Linked DNA regions of Sus scrofa. The protein of the gene in region 4 purifies or fractionates together with the protein of the main gene of each other region. This does not show direct contact. Links are inferred from orthologs where the notes say so. Each region holds a gene or a part of one and is shown on either strand. Other genes may lie near its edges.

Region 1 (4,029 bases), on a different chromosome or scaffold from region 4:
CTGTGAAGCCGTGGGTTTCCAGAACGCCTCCCTGGGGACACACTCTCACTCCTGGGCCAAGAGCCACCCAACCAAACCCAGAAAGGCCTCGGGGTCCTGAGCAGGCAGAGGCGGAGACAGAGCGGGCGGACGGCGGCGCACAGACGGGCTGTGGTAGCTCCCGCAGGGTGGCTTGGGGCGGGGGGCAAGAGGGATGGCCGAGCCCTCCCCGTGGGCAGGGGCCCTGCCCAGACCCCTTCCCTGCAAACACCCAGAGGAGGCAGAGGCAAGACCTCGGCGTCCAAGTGACCCCCAGCCTCCCTAAGCGAGGCCCGGGTTGGGGTGCAAGGGGCTCCGGGCACCGACACCCAGGAAGAAGCACAACCCGCACAGGAAGGGGCCAGCCCAGAGGCGCAGAGGAAGGCCTCCCAGCCCGACACCTGCTCTTCCCTGACCGGAGTGACATCTGCGGCGGGACAGCCGGGAGGACAGCGGGGCCTGGTGGGGACAGGGCCCCCTCCCTCGGCCCCCTCCTCTGTGACCCGGGGGCAGGCTGCATCCTCCCCGCTCCAGGCGTCACCTGGCTCCCGCGCCACAGCCCCCAGCACTGGCTGTGAGGCCCCCACGGCCCGAGGGGGACGCCAGCGCCTCAGCAGCAGGGCCCAGGGTGGGCTCCCGCCCCTGCTGGGAGAAGCACTGAGACCTCTGGGCAGGCCCGACCACCCTGGAGATGGTCGGGGCAGGGGGCAGGGATCGGTGACCCCAAACCCAGTGCCCCAGCCTAAAGCCCCCAGGGTCAGCAGAGGCGCCACCAAAGAACCGCCACCATCGATCCTGCTGTTTCTGACACACAAGCCTGTCCCTTCTGAAGGTTCAAGAGGAAGCAGGGCGTGGCTAAGCGGGGCGCACGCAGCTCCACCCCAGCCCGGAGCCAGGGCCCTCTGCCAACCCGCCAGGGGCCAGGTCCGGGCTGGGGGGCCTCCTCCTGGGGCTGCGGGGCCAGGCTCGGCGAGGGGGCGGGAGCAGTGGGCATCCACCCTCTGTGGGCACAGAGGCAGCCGCCGGCTCCTGCGCGGGAGGCCCGCGGGGAGGGCACTGGCCGCGAGCCTGGCCGGGTGTGCCCGGGGAGAGGGGACGCCAGCCACAGCCGAGCCAGCCCCCCCGCCCCGCCCTCCCGTGGCACTTCTAGGAACTGGCCTGACGCAACCCAGCCCAGGCCTCTCCCTAGGGCTGGCGCAGGGTAGGGGTCCGGGCCCAGGGCTCCGGACTGGGCCTGGCATCCCAGCCCATCCCGCCCAGACCTGGGTTCCCCTCCTGGGCGTGCACACCATGCCACCTGGGGCAGCTGGGGTGTCCGCAGAAGCCAGCCCGGGACCCCAGCGGCGCCCCAGCCCCCTCCCCTGCCCGGCAGGGCCAGGAAGGAGGCAGGAGCACTGCCCACTCGGGGCCCATCAGGCAGGAGCCCAGGGACACCAAGCGGGGCGGGCAGTGACCCCTCACCCCCCAGCCAAGGACGCCTGAGCTTCCTCTTTTGTTGTTTGTTTTGAAGAGAAAACTCAACGCGCTCACAAAACAGGAAACTCGGCCCCACACCGGCTGGCTGGCCACGACCACGGCCACAGCCTGGTGCCGCCGGGGTCCCAAAGAGAGCACCCCAGCCCCAGGAGCAGGGGCCCAGCACCGTGCCCACCCTCAGCCCGGCTGCCGGCTCGGATCTGCCCCAGGCCAGTGCTGGGCCCTCGCAGAGGGTACTGCTTGTGGATGAGGGACTGCCCGGACTGGAGCTACAGTCACTGCAGCATGACCTGAGCGGCACCTGGGGAGCCCCTCACCCGGCCCGGGGCACAGGGCAAGGGGAGCAGACCCTGCCCCACGCTCCCGCGAGCCCCTCGCCCTGGCAGAGCCCCCGCAGCGGCACCGTGCGCCCAGGCGGGCTGAACAGGTCCCTGCAGGCCTCGGCCCGCTGGCCACTCAGCAGAGCCACCGTCGCCTCGAAAGGGGAGCCAGGCTGCGCCCCCACAGCCCCCGCCCCATGTGAGCCCAGGGCCGGGACCGTGGGTTTCGTGTCAGCAAATGGAAGTGGCGTCTGGGCAGCTCAGAGCCGCCTGAGGGCAGGGAAGCCGCTGCGGCCACAGCAGGAAGCAGGATCCGGCCAGGGCTGAGCGGGGCAGGAAGAGGAGCCACCACGGCCAGGAAGCCCACTCCCCACCAGGGTGCCTGGCACCAGCGCAGCAGGGGTGGTGAGGGCCTGGAGCCGGCGAGGGTCCAGGCCAGAAAGGGGCTCAGGCAGGGGGCACAGCAAGGCCCAAGACACGCCAGGGACCAGCCCCCCCGGCCCCGTGCCTGGGGTGGAGCTCGGGTGGTGAGCAGGCCCGCGCCTCCCCTGTGCACACATGCCCGCGGGCCTTGCAGGTGGCCGGTCCAGGCCGGGTCCAGGGGCAGGAGCCCCGCTCCCCTCCACCTGCCCGCTGGCTCCTTGGCAGGCCCAGGCCGGCACCCCCTCCGCTTCCCAGGCCCGGCTCGTCCTGTGAGCCCGCAACCCCTTCTTTCAGCCCATGGCCAGCATCTGGCTGCCCCCTTCCCTTCTCCCAACCCACCTGGTCCAGGCGGCCCATCCACGGGTGGGGTCACCCAGGAGGACAGCCAGACACGGGCTCTAGGTTTGGGACCCCGCAGGGCTGGGCTGCCGCCGAGACAGTGCACAGACCACGGGCACCAGGCCAAGTAGGCAGGGAGGCCCGGGCCTTGGGGAACGTCCCGAAGCAGCTGCGCACACCGGCCCGCGGCCTGGCACAGCACACGCAGTCTGAAGACACAGCAGGAGGCTGCAGCCGAGTCCAGCCAGACCTGCATCCTGAAGGAGGGTTGGTTTTTTTTAACTATCAGCCTTCAAAAATCAGGAGAGCACACAAAAGACCGAATCTTTGAAAATGCGCATTTCTGAGCCACACGGAGCCCACCAGCCCCCAGCACCTGCGGCTGAGCTGAGCTGAGCTGCCCAGCACTCGCAGTGGCCGCCATAGCCTGGGGTGTCTGCCCATCAGCTGCCTGGGATACCCCACTTTGCTCAGGAAGTCGGCCTGCCTCTGGGGACACCCACTCATAGCTTGAGGGCCACCTGTCACACAGGCGGGGTCCCTGCAGGCCCCTCCCAGCCCAGTCCTCTCCCACCCCCCCCCAACTTTCTGAGCCTTCAGCAGCCTGACTCCACCCTCCTGGGACCGGCTCCCTGGCCAGACACCAGGGGACAGAGGCCCGAGGGCTTGCCTGGTGCTGCAGGTCAGGCAGGGCTGGGACTCGAGCTGCAGCGCTGGCCACCCAGCCCGGCTCTCCTGGGCCCCCCTGGCAGTCAGGACACCGGGGAAGTAGCCGGGGCACTCCTCAGAGATGGAGCCCCTGCCCGGAGGGGCAGGAGAAGGACGGACTGCAGCCACCCCTCAACCGCCAAGTCTGTGCCCACGGGGCCCCTTGAGGGCAGGCCCTGGGCTGGACGCAGGACAGACGCGACAGAAGGCAGACCAGTTCCTTGTACCCTGTCACCTGCGTGGCGGGAGCCGCACTGGCAGTGGCGGCGGGGGATCAGGGGGTCTGTGAGGAGCTGGAGGACAGGCACAGTCCCCCACCCTCCCTCACAATCAGACCCTGGCGGGGGGCGGGGGGGTCCAGCCTCTCACCTGTGCTACAGGTGGCGCCGTCTGCCCCCCCAGCCCAGGGCTCCCCCACTGCTCCCAGAGCTGCCCCCAAAGGAGGCTTTAGTTCCTTCGAGGGAGAGGGCACAGCGGGGGTGGGGGCGCCACAGGGAAACACGGAGACGTCCTCAAACTACCCCCTCTCCTGCACCGCCACCTGCCCGCGGGGGACCAAGGCCAGGACGTAGCCGAACACCCCCCCCCGCGACCCAGGCCCAAAAACGCTAGTTCCTCACCCATCATGGGAAACAGCCCCACCTCCCACCTCCAGCCCCAGTCAGAGTCATCCTTGGTTCCCACAACATCTCACCCAAACCCACCCATTTCCCGCCCCCACCACGTGACCTCTGCCCCTGGCCCA
Region 2 (4,171 bases), on a different chromosome or scaffold from region 4:
TTATAGTCATATGTTTGAGTTTCAGCTGAATCAGGTCAAGTCTCATCATGACAAATTATGAGATATAAATTACTTCGAGTACTTGAATTTTAGTGTCTCAAATACTACTGAAATATCCTTACTAACTTGTTAGCTACATATACACAAGGCCCTACTATAAATTATTTTAACCTGTCTCATTTGGCAGACCTGTCTTTTACACAATAAACAAACATCTTAGTCGCAAAAAAAAAAAAAAAAAAAAAAAAAATCGCACTTCAGTGGCTATTGCTTTTAAGTCAATAATCATGTGATGTACCTACCAATGGCCGCCTAATCTCTGATGAATGTACATTTAATGTCCCTTACACTTTTGGGGACATAATTTCAGTAGTTAAAAAACACTGTAAAAAAAAAATTCAGAATGTAAAATGAAAAAAATCTAATTTCTAATCAGCTAGGTTAAAAGTTCAAATAGTTTCAGAATTATAAAATGTATAGAACATGTAACTGTTCAGCATAAAATAATTACAAATTTAGTGTGCCAAATTATGTAACTATAGGCTTTTATTAGGAATTGTGAAAAATTACATTAAAGGCCTACAGAGACTATTAATGAGAGATACAGCAAGCATATTACTGTTAAATAAAACAGTATTAATATCTGAATTGTGAGATTTATCCTCAAGTTTAGTTGGTTTAATGTGTTCCGGTTTTTTTGTGGCTTTACTCGTTAAAAAATATTTTCCCAGCCTCAAACTCAAAGGGAGCCACACCTGAGGGTTAATGACAAAAACATTCCCAATGTAAACTGTGTAGATGCGATAATTCAACTTATGCTTAAATTTGAAACTGTAATGTGGCTGATAATTTTATGATATGGTCTACCACAAGTTAAAGTAAACAAAGTTAAAGGGGACAAAAATCAGCAATTAAAGTGTGTAAAAACTGAATCTGAAAGCAATCTTTTAATTAAAAGTCACTTTTATAGTTAAAGTTCCCAAAATATGCTTTTGTGTAAATGAAACTATGAAATGTAGCTTTATGATATGTGGTATATTTAAGCATCATCACAGGACAAAGATTTTATAACTAATTACACACAGTAGTTAAACTAATATTCCCATACACTTTAAAGAACAATTAATTACATAAATCGCTCAGAACCATGAGAGCCCGGGTCTCATAAAAGTCTTCAAGTCTATTTATATAGAATCAAATCCACTCTGGACAAGTCACTGTTCAACCATTCAACCTTCACTAAGCATCAAAAAGGCAACTCAGCTTTCAATAGAAATTACTTCTACACCTATATATACAAGGATGGTCTTCCTTTCCTAGACCGATTCGTTCTAAGCTAAGAAGCCTTGAGGAAACTAAACAACCTATTCAATCCAAGAAAAAACAGAAAATTGAAGATTTCATTAGTTGTCTAATCTAATATTTTAAAATAGTCACGTTGAACTGATTAAAATTGTTTTAAAAAAGAAATTCACCCCAAATTCCCATCCCTAAAAAATTAAAGATTCAGAAACATACTTGTTTTGTTAAATGTTTGAAAGACAAGGACCTCTCAGCATATAAGCCTGTTGTTCTAAAGAAATAAAACATTTTATAAAGACCACTTTGTTTTGCTTTTTTTTTTAATCCCCAATAGTCACAATTAGCTTATTGGTTAGAGTTCACCTTTAAAAGGTGTCACTAATTATCTAAATAACTAAAATTACTATTCAACGAAACACTAATAAAGTAGCATACTAAATCAGAAGTATAACTTTATCACTAAGTTAAACTTACATCTAAGTATAAACCATACCTAGCACAGACATCAAAAAGACATATTAGCAAAGAAAATCTAAATCAACTGTTTATCCAATACGTCATTAGTAACCTTCATAACATATTTTTAAGTAATTACTACATATTATTTTAAAACTTTTTTTTCCCTATAGGTGCCCTAAATTGGTCAGGGCCATAACTGCAGAGTGTTAAGCAGAGGTCAGATGGGAGAGGCAGAAACAGAAAATGTTAAGTATGACAAACAAAAACGTCCCACAAGAATAAGTTTTCACATCCATCTTTGAATTTGGACTCAAACGCCCAAGAGGAAAAGTTACTCTAATTCTCTGGAGACCTCTTCTGAGGGGCAGGGGTGGAACGGTGGGGGAAGGAGAATTCCCAGAGACAATTAAAAACACTCAACCAAAATATGCCTTAACTTTGCCCTGGTCCGCAATCTAACAAAATGGGAAGACAATGAACATAAACACTCCTGTGTGCCCTCAGAAAAGCAAAGAAAGCTCCCATTCAATGCTCAGCCTTATTCCACTCCTGTAAAGTAAATCCAAAACCACGAGCTCAAACTGCTTCATGCAGAATTTACTGAATGGCGGCCAAAGGCTGTACACGCTGTCCTGAACCACACAGAGGGATATCTAGAGTTCTGCATTCTCCATTTACAACTTGTACCTTACCATGCTTTCGCCACCGCTGCAGAAGCCCATTTTCAAACTGAGACTACGACGTTCCTCCCCGCCCGTCCGTGTGAAGCAGGTTCTCTCCCGGCGGGAGAGAAACTTCGCCTTCGCTCTCCCGGCCCCCGCCCAGTTTTTAAAAAATTGAACTAGTTTGACTCCTCTACTGCAACCAGCACCCCTTTTTAGAAGTCATTAAGGGTAGATGCGTTCTAACGCCCCGGAGTGAATTGAATACGGAGCCCTAAAACTCCTCAATGGCCTTCACCTGGCACTAAAATAATCACCTGTTCAAACTGAGCGGCCCTGGCACCCTCTAAGCGCGGCCGAGAGCGGGAATGCTGTTCCAGTCACCAGTCCCGGGTCTGCAGGTGAAGGCGGCGAACACACATCCACACCCACCGCCCGGGGAGCGCAAACCGAAAGCCAGGACCGCGGCGGCCGGACGCTCCGTTATCCTCGCCCTGCGCGGGCCCCGCCAGGTGAGCGAGGCTCCATCGTGCCCGCGGCGTCCCGACGCTCGGCTCACCCCAGCTCCACTTCTCCCGCCGCCCGGGCCCGGAAGGCGAAGTTTCTCTCCCGCCCGCGGCGGCTACTGCTCACGCGCCGCCCGGCCCTCCCGCCAGTCCCGCCGCCTGCTCCGGCCGGCCGCAGTCACCGGCGCCGGGCCTCGGACGAGCCGGAGCCCGGGACCTGTCACCCCGGGCGGGAAACAAAAGCCGGGTGAGGACCAGCGGGCGCCACCGGCCTCGCCTCCGCGAGGGGGAGCGCGGCGGGGGCGGGGAGCGGCTCTCGCGGCCGCCCGGCTCCGCGCCTCCAGGAGGGAACCCCGGCCCCGCGGCCTGGCGGGACGCAAAGGAGCCCCGCGGCGGGCTGGGGACCTCCGGCGCGTCCGCCTCGAGGCTTCCCCGGCCCCTCTCTCCCCGACGCGCCGTTCCCGGACTGGGGAGCCGCATGAGGAGGCGGGGAGGCGGAGCGGGAAGGCGGCGGGACCGCAAAGGAGGAATTCGGCTCCCGGAGCTCCACGACCACCCGCCCCATCCTTGCGGCCATGGCGCCGGTACCTGTCGCCGGGGTTGCTCTACTGCTCTGTCTCTCCCCGCCTCACCCGCACGCAGCTGTCCCCTCAGCCCGCCCAGCAGGCCGCCCGCGCGCCGGACGCCGCCGCCTCCAGAGACTGGCAGCGCCTGCGAACCGGCCCGAATCCCCCGGGCAGCGCCCGGCGCCGTCCCGCCCCCGCCGGCCGTAGGACCCGCCTTCCATAGGGCCCCGGGGCCGTCAGTCCGCCCCCAAAAGGCGCGCGGGCTGTCGCTCTGCCTGTTCGGATTGGCGGCCTCGCGCTGTCCATGCAAATAAGGCCCCGCCCCCGTCCATTTGCACCTCCGCCTTGGTGTAACCTCCGCCTCTCCACGCCAGCCCACGTGTCTGGCCCTTGCCCTTTGTGGGGGCTGGAGGCAAGGGATGAAGGAAACTGACCCACACCCCCTCACACCGTTCCTTGCCTCCAGGGAAATTAATGCCTAAATAAGCTTGTTGACTTAACAACGGGGTCTCTCCCTGAAAACTCTGTCCCCCTTCCTGCCCACCCAACCTGCCCCGTGGATGGAGAGGGGCAGGCCAGGCTGTTTGTGTCAGGTAAGCAAGCCAGGTTAGCCCCAGGAAACACCACCAGGAACTCAAAGTTGTCTCTCAGAAGTGGGAAAATCCCACCCGGAGAA
Region 3 (4,249 bases), on a different chromosome or scaffold from region 4:
GCTTCTATCAGTTCTCAACATTTCCACTGCTACTACCTTATCCCAAGCCCCCATAATTTTTTCCCTGGGCAGCAGAAATAGCCTCCTAGGTGACCTTCCAGCTTGCAGTTTTGAAGGTCAGCAGTCTGTCCACCACGAGCAGTCACTTAACCGATCACGCCACTCCCCAGCTTCAAACCGTCAAGTGATTCCCGTCTCCTTACCTAACCAGAGCCCTGCCCAGTGTCGCCGATCTCACGTCCCACAATCTTCCGCACTTAAGTTCACTGCGCTCTAAGCTCCTTGGCCTCCCTGCCTTCTTTCCAGAACGCCAAGTGCCTGAAGACTTTTATAACTTACCTTTCTCCTTGCTGGGACCATTCCTCCCTCAGATTCGGCCAAGGCTGGCTGTGTCTTCATTTAGTTTTCTACTCAAATGTCTGACTGTGGTACCTAGAACAGCACCCTCCTTATTTCCTCTCCTATCACTCATATTATTTTATCTCATTTTAGCTTTGCATTTACCCTGCCTAGAAGGGAAAGCCCCTTTGGAGCAGTTAATGTTCATTCGCGCCGTATCCCTGGCGCCTGGAAAAGTGCCTGGCACATCAAGCACCTAAAAACAGGCTTAGTTAAATGAATTTGCACTGAACTTATCCTGTTTTCCACTTGCTTTGTGAGATCACCTCGCCTCCGAGGTAGGCATACAAACAGGGACGGAAGCAGAAGCTATGGAAAGGCCTGCCTTGCCGTGTTTTGAGCCCATTAGTAAGGCCTCGCGCAAGAACCCCTCGAAGCTCCCCCAGCCAGAGCCGGGCGTTAAGAATGCTCTTTAGTCTCCTCGTCGTCCGGAGACAACAAGAGACGTCGGTGGGGAGGGGAAAGGGTAAAGAGGAGAAAATAACGCGTGGAAGGGCTGAGGAAGGAGCCTCGGCTCTGCACCGTTCGGTTGAGAATTTACTATTTTTCATGGCGGCAATTATTTTACTGGATGGCCCGGGGGCTGGGGCTGCGATTCGGGCGCACAGCAGCAAGCGAGGCGGTCAGCCATTTTCCGAAACTAATCTCCCGAGTAACCCCGCCCGAGTGTGTACGCATGAAACGGAGGCGGGACTTATTGTGAGGGCCCCTCTCCGGAAACCGCACCCTCGCTGGCGTCCCACCTTCTGGGATTCACAAAACGCAGACCAAGATTTAACAGTCGGCAGCGAAAGCGCGCACTCGAGCGCCAATGAGAGCGGGAGGAGAACGGCGTCTGAAGAACACTCTCTATGGCCAACAATGATTGGCTGAAGCCCTCCTGTCTTTTTTTTGTATTGGGTGGACTGCCTTTCCCCGCCCACCCAGTTCGCTTTTGTCTAGGTACTTTTGATTGGCTCCTCTTAGGCGGCACGGGGGATTGTTCATTACGGATTGGTGGATTTGAGCACCTGGCGGCTCCTTCCCGAGCAGGGAGTCCATCCCACCTCTCTGTCCTGTTTCCCGACCCGTACGCTTTCCCCTCAACTCTCGCGCACGAATGGTTAAAAAAAAAAAAAAAAAAAAGGGTGTGAGGCTGGAGCCCGCCAGCCAGGCCTCTCGCTCCTAAGCGCGCGCCCTCAGCGAGGACCCGCGCGAGCTGCCCGTGACGCTGCCTGCGCTGTTTGAAACTGCAGAACCCGTTACGAGCTTGAGGCAACTACCGTTCCAGCTGGTTCCGGAGCCCGTGCGGGCCAAGGGGCGAGTGGCGGTCTCGAGGCGGCTCTGGCCTTTCGCGTCTCCACCGCGTGGAGACTAGAACCGGCACTTTCGCAGGACACCACTTCCAATCGCAGCGCTGGCGCGGGCGGAGGCTAAAACACGGGGGTCCTGAGACTGAGGAAAACGCGCCAAGTTCCCGTCGGTGGTGGAGTGAGGAAGACCCTAGCGGTTAGGACGCCGGGCGAGCGGAGCTGCTTCTGGCGCTCCTTGCCGTCCCGGGGCGGGGGCGGGCGCGGGCGGGCGCCGCTCCGGGGATGTAGTTGGTGCGGGCGCCGGGCAGGACCGAGCGGCAGCCCGGGTTCCCGCTCTTCAGAGCGAATGGTCACTCCCCCGCGGGGAGGGCGATCCGACCAGCTTTTCCTTGGGTCGGGGGGCCCCCGCGGGCTCGGGGCAGGGGCTCACCTGTGGCACCCACGCTCGGCCTGGTTGGACTTGTCGGCGTCACCGCCGCGGACCTCGCTTTGGGCCATGACCAGGTAAGGAGGGCCTGTGGAGGTGGGGCCGGCGCCCGAGGGGGCCGCGGGGAGGACCTCGGCTTCGTGGGTGCAGCGCCGCCGCCGAGCTCCGTGCAGCGGGCGGGGCGCCCTCCTGCCGCCGCCGGGGACTCAAGGCAGGTGCGGGCCGGGCGTAAATAGGCCAGCTCCGCGGGCGAGGGTCCCGGAGCTGCGGTCCTGCTTCAAGACGCCTCCCGCCGGGCCCGTGGCGTCCTCACGGGCACGGGCACAGACCCCATCCCGTCTTTTCGCTTTCCTTTCCGTTCCTAGAGAGTGCGGGGTAGCGCCAAGGAATGTTTTCGCTCGCGTTGTCCTGGGTCGGGATTGCTGCATTTTACCGCGCAGTTTAAACTTTTACTTCTTTTTTTTTTAACAAGTATTTAGAATGCCACGTGTCTTAAACCTTTGTTGGGAATGTTCTCCTTATGTTACGTTTTTCGTGGAAAGTTGCAATTAAGTCGTACCACCTTGTGAAGGAGGCCGCTTAAGACGAATAGGACTTAGTGTTCACACTGTCACTTGTTCAGTAACATGCAATGTTCGATTTATCGTGGGTTCTGCGAAACCGGATTTAGATTACGGGAGAAACATTTTTGTTGTAGCAAACCCCAGTGATAAGGACAGGCGGGAGCAAGAAATGGTGCAGCATAAGGCACGGCACCTGGTCAAATGTTAGATTAACTAGGTCATGTTAAATCACTGCTTGAAGGAGCCTGGAGGATTGGTTTATTGATTAGGATTGGTAGTTATTTTAGCTGCCTGGCCATTTTTTTCTTATGTTTATATGTAAGTCGGGTTACTTTGTCTTTTAGAGAAATCAGATTGGCTCCCAAGAAAACCCTTTTGCGGGAATCATTGATGCTTAAGAGATCCCTGACACCTTAGTGCAGGCTGGTTTATCATTCGTGATAGCGTTTCTTCAGTAGCACTAGGTAGTCTGGAGAGTAAATTGAGTTGGAGTGGGTCTGTGGAAATTGGTCGGCTTTCCATTTATTCCTGAGGTGTCTCAAAAAGTTGGCTTCACTGCCGAGTTCAGTGTTATGAGGTCCTAGATCCGAGGCAGCCCAGTGAAATGTTAAATAAGGATGGAATTTAGTTCGTATTGTTACTCTGCCTATTTATTTGTAAAGTCCTTGCTGAGCTTTTGGACTCTTAAGTGATTTTCTGGTAATACTCCAGGCAGATAATTTCCCCCTAGATAGCCTAATAAAAAAACAGGATTGAAGTTTAAAATAACTACCACAGATACATTTTTTTAATCAGAAAGTTTTATTTTAAGACAGGGAAGAAAGTTTGCATAATGCAAACTATCCTTTTTTCCCTACTTAAAGCAGAATTTTAAAAAATTCTGGAGTTTAAGTTTGGAAAATCAGTAGCATATTTTGGTTTCTAGAGCGTTAAGAATTTGATTTACACAAATTATGGCATTTTTTTACACTGTTATCCTAATCTTGCATATGGTTTCTTGTTTTTCACACAAGGTTTTAGACTATTTCATATAAGTAGAAAAGGCTCTGGAAGGAGAACTCAGCTGCTTCTAAGCACTCCTTTAATTTCCCATTCATCTGTTTCCCACCTCCTACTTGAGATGGTAGTTGCTTGTTGTTTTCTGAATAAACTAATACATAATAAAGTTTTTATGCTTTAATGATACTACTTTATTCCAGATCTATTACTAAAATGGGTTAATTTGTGATATGACCATTAATATACTAAGCAGGCTAATAAGAATTTTAATATCTGGCCTTTTTTGTTGTGTAAGAAAGTTAAGGACAGGAATTCTGTTGTGGAACCTGACTAGTATCCATGAGGATGTGGGTTCCATCCCTGGCCTCCGTCAGAGGTTAAGGATGCAAAGGTTCATCCTTAGGTCGAAGACAAGGCTCCACTTCACACTGTTTTGGTGTAGGCCAGCAGCTGTAGTTCCAATTTGACCCGTACCCTGGGAAGCTCCCTATGCCGGGTGCAGCCCTAAAAAGACAAAAAAAAAAAAAAAAGAGTTAAGGACAAATGGCAAGCTCCTTCATTTAAGCAAT
Region 4 (3,560 bases):
GTTTAATCATTAACATCAAATGAGTGAAAAACTAAAGAAACAGATGTATACTACAAAAATACAGAGCAATACTTGAAGTCAATACATATTTGGGCTTCCCTTCTTTAGCAAGGGTTTCACAGACTGGTATCCCTGATGGCAGCAGAGGGAGGCTGTTCCAAGTCTTTGTTCTGGCCCAATGCTAGGTTGTAGTAGCAGCAGGATACCAGAGGGCTGAGTGTCTGCTTCTTTGACATGTGGGTACCAGCTCCAAGACCTAACTTGTTAAATGGATACATGCCAATGACATAAATCCTTCAGGGCAGGCTGTGTGTAGATTCACTCAAAGCAAGAGACAATGCCACTGCTCTCCCAAATCAGAAATTAAAATAGCATTAAAAGTGTGATTTCCTCAGAGCTGCTAATTCTTTTTAATGTCAGTTTCTATGATTGCATAGGCCACCACTGCTTTTTATACCATAAATACAAACACAAAAGCTGACAGCTAAATAAGAACCCTCAGGATCCTAGTCTATGTGCTAATCCCCACACACCATATTAGGTTAAATTTTTTTTAAATTAACTTGACCAGTTAAAAAGAAGCAAAAGAAAAAACATATTCACTAAATGGCATACCTTATTTCAAAATCATAAGAACATCCTAGTGAGTGGGTCTTTGAATACATTCATATCAGAAAAAGAAACATTTCTCTTTAGGGGAATGCTGATGGCTTACATAAAAGACAGCTGTGAACAGAATCAGGAGGCACAAGCTTTACATTATCTGGGAAATAATCACTTTAGGTTTTGCCTCTCCATCCTGTCCATGAAGGGCAGCACTTTGGGATCTTCTTTTACCTTGCTGGAAAACTCTGAAGTCGGTTATAGGCCATGTGAAGAATCTTCAGACGGGGATGTCCCGTTAACAAGTGCACACATTTATCTGTGAGGTTGTTATTTGTCAAATACAACTCCTGTAAGATGCTGTTTGTCTCTTCAGAAAGTGTGGCTGGAGGAAGCGTTTCCAGTTTGTTTGCCGATGCATTCAGGAATCTCAGGCTACAATGACAAAATGCAACAAAATCTCCTGTTAAGACAGGGCTCTAGTCCAGAATTCTCAACAAACCTAGTTTTCAGATTGATACTGGGCCTACTGGAAACTGGGTTTACAAACATGAATTTAAAGATAGGTGCTGGCTTTGGTAGGCAAATAGATATGTAACCCTACTATTTATAAGGAACAATAGCTCTCTATATGAGTTAACTACAAAGAGAAATCAATTTTTATGGAAGCACAAAGGTGAGAGGAAGTGATTAATTTTATAGCTGGTAGGGAGTGGAAGGGAGAGTGATAAAAAAAAGTTGATATTCTCTCTTAAGAAAAACTGCTGCCTATTTTAAAATAAAAGAGCTTGTATGGCAATAAAACAATTAGACATCAGATCACAATACAACTAAATCACATAGTGGCTAAGTCCTTTTTAGTACGATGGCTAAACCATATTTTACTGACTATATATTCACAATGGCAGGAGATAATTTGCTCTGTAGTAAAATAATGCACTACTATGTAGTGGTGAAAAAGAACAACTACATGTATCAACAGCATGAATCTCACAAATATAATAGAGTGAAAACAGCCAGATACCGGAGGGTACACTGCATAATTCCATAATTCTGGAGTTCAAAATCAGGTAAACTAATCTATAGTATTAAAAGTTGGGGAAGGGAAACAGTGTCGAGGAGTCAGCTAATTTCTCCAATATGATAACGTTCTGGTTCTCGATCTGGGTGCTGGTCACTTTGAGAAAATTTATCAGGTGCTATACTTATGATTTGGCTGCTTTTCTGTATTTATATGATACTTCAATAAAATTTACATTAAAATAAGATGTATATGCCACCAGTTATGCAAATGATGGAGCTTAAGTATGAAGTATGAAGAATGTTATTAAACTTGAGATAACTAAAACTGTCAAAAACAGTGTAATCCTTCCATAGTTACTGTGGAACACAGATAAATGCAAAATGCGAAGCTGGAGCACTGAAACAAAATCCTTGCTGTGATCAGGTTCCAAAGCACTGGAAAGGGAAGAGATGGACAGAGCAAGTACTGGGTGTGGATGATAGGCGATAGACAACACAGTGCATGGCAGACAATCCCCCACCCCCACGTCACAGTGTGGCCCATCATGAGGCTGCAATGGCCCAAGCATGGAGAGTGCCCCGCTCATAGGACTTACCTGCTCTAGGTACCAAGATCAAGCTGCCTTGCCCCCCAACCCTGACCTAGAACTACCCTGTTAATGAACTGCCTTTCTCTTGTTTCAGAACCTAGGCTTGATACATTCAGCATTTAATTCAGGATTGTTTTACCATAAATTAGAAAAAAAGAATAAAATCTTCCTTCAAAAGAAGATTTTTGTTTGTTTGTTTGTTGTCTGTTTTGGGAGGAAGCCATGTTCATGGCACATGTAAGTTTCTGGGCCAGGGACTGAACCCTGGCCACAATAGCAACCGGAGCCACTGTAGTGACAACGTTGGATTCCTTAACCTGATGCACCACAAGAGAGCTTCTAGGTATAGTTATTTTTAATCTTGGATAAAAAGAATTTGTACTCGAGAGTCATCACCAGGACTGTCATTCCAAGCTTTCAATCCACTAATTTAATACTCTCCAATCTTGCAACCTCCACACACTCACACCCACCCACCCACCCACCTTAACTCCACCACTTATCTAAGGAAAAGCAGCTCCCCCAAAATAGAACATTTTCCATTAAAGGAACACATATCCCGTTGACATTAAAAAAAAAAAAAAAAGGAAGTTAGAAAAGGGCTGTACAGACCATAAATAGTCATGGGAAATTATAGTCGTGTGTGCTAGAGAAGAAAATAAAGGTCATTCATGCAGTTTCTGAAATGGTTTTAACTAGGAAGGAAACCAGTTTCGGCAGCACAGTTCTTTAAAGTATTTTTACGAATCTATTTCTTTGGGTCCCGTTTGTATCACCTGACTTAAATACTCTAAGAATTTCTTCAGTGTAGAATTAGAAAACATTAAAATGTACTGTTCTGAAACATCTTGGAATGGGGTTGGTTGGGGAAACTCTGACAATCTTACTAAAGTACAATTCTTGAAGAAATATGCAGTTATAGACACACGAAAGGAAACTAATTCATGAATATCTGCATATTTTTAGGACAGAAAAAGAGGAAAAGTTGTTTTGAAAAGAAAAGATTGACAAGTGAATGCTCATCTAGAAAACTGCAAAAAGGACTTTAAAAAACTCTCACAACATCTGAATGAAGGGAAGAAAGTGATTTCCAGAAAGACTTGTTCTCTCATCTTGTTGAAATCTGCCTGCACTGAAGTAGCTACATGCTTTTTATGAAAAACTAGGGGGAAGGGTGAATCCCACATTCTACCCTCCAGGAAATGAAACTAAGTTGAAACTACACTGGGCTGGTTCCAAAGGATTTTATTTGAACTAAATAAAGCCTGATTGAATCATCTTGTTAGTTAACCTTCAAAGAGCAAAAAATTGGGCTAAAAAATTTTTGACTACAATGGTTTCAGG

The links.
Region 1: the proteins of PHLPP1 (region 4) and AKT1 purify together in Homo sapiens (affinity purification with western blotting, with the first as the bait; 3 studies listed by BioGRID). This does not show direct contact. The link is inferred for Sus scrofa from reciprocal best matches to the Homo sapiens genes PHLPP1 and AKT1.
Region 2: the proteins of PHLPP1 (region 4) and FKBP5 purify together in Homo sapiens (affinity purification with mass spectrometry; 4 studies listed by BioGRID and IntAct, with this or other methods). This does not show direct contact. The link is inferred for Sus scrofa from reciprocal best matches to the Homo sapiens genes PHLPP1 and FKBP5.
Region 3: the proteins of PHLPP1 (region 4) and USP1 purify together in Homo sapiens (affinity purification with mass spectrometry; 6 studies listed by BioGRID and IntAct, counting the BioPlex papers as one, with this or other methods). This does not show direct contact. The link is inferred for Sus scrofa from reciprocal best matches to the Homo sapiens genes PHLPP1 and USP1.

What each region holds. Positions count from the first base shown.
Region 1 is NW_018084979.1:3,052,626-3,056,654, forward strand, and holds the start of AKT1 (RAC-alpha serine/threonine-protein kinase), read right to left. Parts: upstream 2,848-4,029; 5' UTR 2,833-2,847; coding exon 2,577-2,832; intron 1-2,576. UniProt on the Homo sapiens protein: AKT1 is one of 3 closely related serine/threonine-protein kinases (AKT1, AKT2 and AKT3) called the AKT kinase, and which regulate many processes including metabolism, proliferation, cell survival, growth and angiogenesis.
Region 2 is NC_010449.5:31,546,984-31,551,154, forward strand, and holds the start of FKBP5 (FK506 binding protein 5), read right to left. Parts: upstream 2,848-4,171; 5' UTR 2,741-2,847; intron 1-2,740. UniProt on the Homo sapiens protein: Immunophilin protein with PPIase and co-chaperone activities. Component of unligated steroid receptors heterocomplexes through interaction with heat-shock protein 90 (HSP90).
Region 3 is NC_010448.4:149,983,100-149,987,348, reverse strand, and holds the start of USP1 (ubiquitin carboxyl-terminal hydrolase 1), read left to right. Parts: upstream 1-1,402; 5' UTR 1,403-2,195; intron 2,196-4,249. UniProt on the Homo sapiens protein: Negative regulator of DNA damage repair which specifically deubiquitinates monoubiquitinated FANCD2. Also involved in PCNA-mediated translesion synthesis (TLS) by deubiquitinating monoubiquitinated PCNA.
Region 4 is NC_010443.5:158,682,092-158,685,651, forward strand, and holds part of PHLPP1 (PH domain leucine-rich repeat-containing protein phosphatase 1), read right to left. Parts: intron 1,039-3,560; coding exon 838-1,038; intron 1-837. UniProt on the Homo sapiens protein: Protein phosphatase involved in regulation of Akt and PKC signaling.